Saccharomyces cerevisiae S288C: one gene and its partner. The protein of the gene in region 2 binds, or shares a complex with, the protein of the main gene of each other region. Each region holds a gene or a part of one and is shown on either strand. Other genes may lie near its edges.

What was found. The genes of interacting proteins can lie anywhere in the genome.
Region 1: RPL38 (region 2) and RPL34A share a complex: the UniProt entries of both Saccharomyces cerevisiae proteins name them as parts of the large ribosomal subunit.

Annotation. Positions count from the first base shown.
Region 1 is NC_001137.3:268,886-272,177, forward strand, and holds RPL34A (60S ribosomal protein eL34 RPL34A), read right to left. Parts: upstream 1,301-3,292; coding exon 1,264-1,300; intron 867-1,263; coding exon 538-866; downstream 1-537. Other genes in the region: putative isoleucine biosynthesis protein HMF1, read right to left, coding at 1,852-2,241; PET117 (Pet117p), read left to right, coding at 2,883-3,206. UniProt on the Saccharomyces cerevisiae protein: Component of the ribosome, a large ribonucleoprotein complex responsible for the synthesis of proteins in the cell.
Region 2 is NC_001144.5:780,486-783,126, reverse strand, and holds RPL38 (60S ribosomal protein eL38 RPL38), read left to right. Parts: upstream 1-1,747; coding exon 1,748-1,984; downstream 1,985-2,641. Other genes in the region: YLR326W (uncharacterized protein), read right to left, coding at 231-953; PEX30 (peroxisome biogenesis protein), read right to left, coding at 2,341-2,641. UniProt on the Saccharomyces cerevisiae protein: Component of the ribosome, a large ribonucleoprotein complex responsible for the synthesis of proteins in the cell.

The sequences.
Region 1 (3,292 bases), on a different chromosome or scaffold from region 2:
TTTACTTTCCACTTGGATTTTATCTGTAGGCTTTATCAAGTTCCTGTATGTATGGTTGTGCAAGGCACTCTTCTTCATAAAGGAAAAGATGTGTTGAGATTTGTAAGGCTTTTCATCAGTGTTAGATCTGAGGTGGTGTTCACATTAAATTAATCGACGCAGGATTTGGCGAAAGCTTCTGGCATAATGTTTGGTGTTTGTGGTGTGTGATTTCTTTTTTTGATTTTTTCTTTTGCAGTTGTATTCCCATACATTAAATTGTTCGTGGCACATGAAAAAAAAAAAATAAAATATGAACAGGTCTTTTTTATAGCAGAGTTACGTCGTCTACAGTTGGACAGGCGATTGACTACTAAATTCCCATGGCTATGGATGACGATGATTAATGAAGAAATAGTAGCTCGACAACATTACAAAAAGCATTATTCATAGAGCGCTAGAGCCATGAAAGTTTTCTTGTGATATGAATTATTTTTATTCGTGCTTTATATAAAACAGTTAATTAGGTACATAAGAAAAGTAACATTTTCTTAAAGTTTATTTCTTAGCCTTCTTTTCAGATTTCTTGGCAGCTTCGGTTTGTTCCTTGACAACCTTCTTGACAATTTTTTGTTCTTCGATCAAGAAAGCTCTAATAATTCTTTCCTTAACACAGTTGGCACATCTGGAACCACCGTAAGCTCTGGAAACAGTCTTGTGGGTCTTGGAAACAGTGGCGTATTGTCTTGGTCTCAAAGTAGAGATACCTTGCAAAGCGCTACCACAGTCACCACACTTTGGTCTGGTAGCTAACTTCTTGACATGTTGGGCACGCAAAATACCACCTGGGGTCTTAACAACCTTGATTTTGTTAGAACGGGTGTTGTCTATTTGAAAATGTTTTCAGAAAGTTGGTATACTTTCTCATTTGAAAAATATGTTAGTACGAAATGTTTCAATAGGAAGGAGTTCGAGAAAACTTTAAAAGAAATTTTCGTAACACAGATTGAGATTATTAGCTCTAGTCAGTATCAGGGTTAAAAGTGGCTGCTCTTATTAACTATCGTTTTTCTTCTCATTGCTACTAATATTGTATTATTTCTGGACACAATATTTCGCGCAGAATAAGTTATTGATAGTGGATTACAAAAACGGGGTAAATTGCTTTTGATAACTATACTAGGACCCCTGACATGGTATCCTCTCCTCTCTTGCTCTTTTTTAGTTGAATAATCATCATCTCGTCAGAATTTCTCGTAATTTATAAGTGTGCCTTTAACATACATGGATTTCTTCTTCTGAAAGTAACACGTTGGGCCATCTTTGGTTGTTCTGTTATGCAGTCTACACGTTAATACCGTTTAACACTAAGCGTAATTAATCTATAATATTTCAATTCCTTCTAGATAATATCCTCTGCGCCTAGGCTCACGAAATTACACGGAGGAAGCGTCGACCAGGCGACTCGTTGGTAGGGGACCAAGCGCGAGTAACTACCAGAATCGCCTTGGCTCAGTAGAAAATGACGGCCTAAAGGGAACCTAGCGGGGGAGCGTAGTCGTAAGCGGGAACAGCGAAAGTCAAGCTTCTTTTTTTTTTCACAATATATGGAAAAAAATTTATCACCCATACATACCACTAAATGTGTTATATATTTGAGAACACCTTTACATCCTAATGTTTAATGGAAAAAACAGTCCTCGAAGAGCATCGTATTTGTAGAAGGAACCAAGTAAATTAGTATACAATGTACAATGTACATTCTTCAGATGGGAAGGTGATGAAAGTCATACTTCTATGGGCTTTATATTATAAAGCTAAAAAATACGTAGTAAAATCCTAAGTTCTAAAAGACGCTATTAAGACTTGCCCTTAATCTCTTTCGGCAGCAATGGCTTCCATTTCCATGTCAACGCCTAATGGCAATGCTGCAACAGCAACGCATGATCTGGCAGGTTTGTGAGTATTGAAGTACTTGGCGTAAACGGAGTTAAACTCAGCAAAGTGATTGATATCTGCCAAGAAAATGTTAACTTTTACGACCCTGTCCAATGAGGAATTGCTTGCTTCTAGAACATTCTTAATGTTTTGAATCACCTGTTCAGCCTTATCAGCAATGGAACCTTCAACTAACTTGTTGTCTGGGGTCACTGGAATTTGGCCAGAAAGGAAAATCAAATTGTTCACTTTCATGGCATGGGAGTATGAAGCCGCAGCAGCTGGAGCGGATTCACAAATAACGGGAGTTAGCGTGGTGACCATAATTCTAATGTAATGATGATGTTCGAAGGGTAAATTTTCTTTCGCTTTTTCGTGGAAACCAAATATCAAAGTTGTTCCTTATCATGTATCCGTTTGATAATGAAGTAAATTAGTATTTCTTTTGTAGGTCAGCAGCTCGCGCTATGGAGAAAGGAGTTATAATGAAACCACGTGAGCACGATGAAATAGCAATATGTTACTATTGATTACCGGATTAGAATGGTTAAAATGGTGAAATAAGAAGAATGATTATTGTGTGCTCAGTATCGGTTGAAACCACTAGTTTTGGCGCTTGACTCCACTCGTGAGTCATGTTTGGACTATATATGTGCCTTGAATATATATAAATATATATATTGCTATATGATCCCGCTGTTTCCAAGAGTAGTAATTACTAGACGGCTGTTGGCATATGTCAATGAGAGATTAGTGTACTCTTCGTACCATCAATCCGCCCATAATCTTCTAAGTGATCTTCCGATCGTATCCATCGAACTTTACTAAAGGCTCTTTTCGGGGTTACCCCTAAATTTTCAGTATTTGATTTGTATTAATGTTTAGCATTCAGGTAGTCGTAGTAAACGGACACATTTGACATTCAACGACGGTACACACGGTAGGAGACGTCAATTTCGGCTGAGATGAGTAGGGCTAGCAAGATAACGTTTGCAGCTTCCTGTCTGATAACGGCAGCGACGGTAGTGGGCGTGCATTATGTGCAAGAAATGGAAAGGGAAACTTTGCATCAGGGTCCGATAAAAGATGCTAAACGAGTCGAAGAAAAGAGGTTGAGAAAGACAAACGGAGTTGCATCATTAGATCCCACAAAAGAAAGGAAAAGGTACTTCAATATGAGTGAACACGAGGAACAAAAAGAGTTGCGAAAGAAGTATGAGACCATGCAACCGCTTAGTGGAGAAGTTGTGACCAAAGATGGAGAGGTGGTTAAAGAATCTAAGAAATAAACACCTGTCGGCAGTAGTTTACCTCTCTATTATAGACTACTCTTGTTTGTATATATGTAAGAATCGTGTAATTATTTTCAAGAAGC
Region 2 (2,641 bases):
CCGACCCGACCGGTTTGATTCCGTTAGCATATTTCAAAGAAACGGGCCTTTTAATGATTTAACGACCATATAACTTCAATAACGTGTATGCATATATAAAATGATCATGTCAAACATCCTTTATATTACTTCTTAAATACATGTTTACGATAAAAAATAAAATTTACATTATAAGTTTTTGATTGCCCATATTTGTTGATAAGAATGTAGCCTTACCGTGGCCGGTTTGTTCACCTGTAACCTCTTTGGGGGCGACCGTTAGTACTGCGCGTGTATGCTGGTGCAGGTGGAGCTGTCACAGGCGGTCTGTTATACATTTTACTATTATTTCTGTTTCCATTCACATTTTTGTTGCCACCAACTACTGGAGGTGCAGTATTGGCATTGGAATGTTTCTCATTTTCTTCTTTTTGATGCATGAGCTCCGCTTGCTTTCTTTCCAATGCCCTTTTTCCAACAAAATTGTAAACTATAGCTGCGTTTCTCGTGGAACATGCGTGCAACCATGCAAAAACACTTCCCAGAATAGGAACTAAACTAATAAGTAAATCGATAACGATATTACCATGCATCTTCACCTTGATTTCCGCAGGCAATTTATACCTGTCATCTGCCAATTCAATCAACTTATCATGCACCCAATACATCAATAAGGGTCCTATAACCGGTAGAAGTGCAAGTAATGGTGCCCATCCTATAGTGTTTGTCCAGCAACAGCATCCGCACAGTGATTTGTCATGCAGCCAGGCTTTGTTTTGGACCTTTTTCCACGCTTTACTTTCATCCTTAGTGCAATAATATGGCAGTCTGCGGCGGTGCTTTTTACCATCTTTATTCGTTTCATAAAACGGATCCCTGGTTGGCTGGAAATGCTGTTCTGCGAACTCTTGATATTGATCTTCTAAGTAATCTTGGCCTAGACCAAGCAACGTGCTCTTAATGAACCCTGACATTTGATATGGTTTCCCCCTTATTTTACTTGATGATATTGCTCCCAGCAGATCCAAGATTTATTTTCAAGTGCTCTTGTCTCACGTATACTACGACTTCTATGAAACAAATATATGAGTAGGGAACTGAACAAAAAAGCAAATTCTTCCAATGCTCTCTAGCTCGCAGTCATGTTATGATCTCATAATCACGTCCCATTCCCGGCTTCTACGCATTTTTCCACGTATTAGCGCGATTTAAAAAAAGAAAATAGAAACAAATAGCAATAAACAAAAAGAAAAGTAACGCTATTACATCCACATGTCACAACTACTTTGTGAAGTTGCAATGCGTGATTAGTATTATAAAACATCATAGCCTTGCCAAATAAACTCGCTTCCCAGAAAAGACGCCAAATTAACTGCCGCTGTTATGTGACAAAACAGGGCATCTCACATATTCGCGTACTGGTGTTCTTTTAGCTCATTCCGATATTATTCCAAGACGGAATTTTCATCTAGAGAAAATGCATCCGTGCATTTTCATAAACCCACACAATTAAAATGCCTTGCGAAAAGGAGGACTCGTCCGTGCAACTGTTGAAAAAAATAGACGGAGCATCATACGTTCGAGTGGAAAATTATGGAGAGTTTTCCAAGCTCTATGGCATGTAGAGTCGTGATTGCTGCTGTACGCTTTTGCACAATATTGAATCTTCAATCTAAAGAATTAAATTTTCTAATTTCAATGTAGAAATATTTCAACTGTTAGTTTTTTATTTCAGGTTGAATATAGTACGACAAAATATCAAGGAAAAATGGCTAGAGAAATCACCGACATCAAACAATTTTTGGAATTGACCAGAAGAGCTGACGTTAAGACCGCCACTGTTAAGATTAACAAAAAATTGAACAAGGCCGGTAAGCCATTCAGACAAACCAAGTTCAAGGTTAGAGGCTCTTCTTCTTTGTACACTTTGGTTATCAACGATGCTGGTAAGGCTAAGAAATTGATCCAATCTTTGCCACCAACTTTGAAGGTTAACAGATTATAAGAAAAATAAGGAATGATCGGAGTGTTATCATAACGAGACTGGAACAAAAAAAACTAAGAATACTTTCCCATCCGCATAAAGAATAATATCCATTTGTGTTCGTTATACAGGAAGTAGAAATAGGCTTTATAACTTTTTTTGTTTTTGTTTCCTTTTGTTTTTCTTACTACTCATAAACATATTTTTTAATTTTTAAAGTCATAACGTTGTATAGTTAATAAAAAAAATTGGATTACTATTCATTGAAGAAGAGAGTTCTATACGTTCTTTTTTAAGTTTATTTAAAGGGAGTTACCATTTGTGTAATAAAGTAAATTAGAGATTATATTATGTAAAGGTAAAAACGGGAGCGAGCATCATACGGCCTTCTTGCTATCGCGACCAATGGTTGGATTTGATTGCTCTTTCTCTTCAGTATCATCTAATACTTTTGCCAGTCGATCTCTTGCCCTAGATTTTAAAACTTCTTCATCGGTCGAGGAAATTCTTTCAAACTCGCCTTCGTTGATGTTTGATGCTTCGGCAAATTCTTTTGTCTCTTCTGTTGTAGGCTCTCCTACTTTTTTCGCATTATCTTTCTCTTGCTTGTTGCTCCCAAGCTCTTGCTCAGCGGTTAAACCATTCGTGCTGTTTTCTTCAACCTTTTGTTCAATGGCA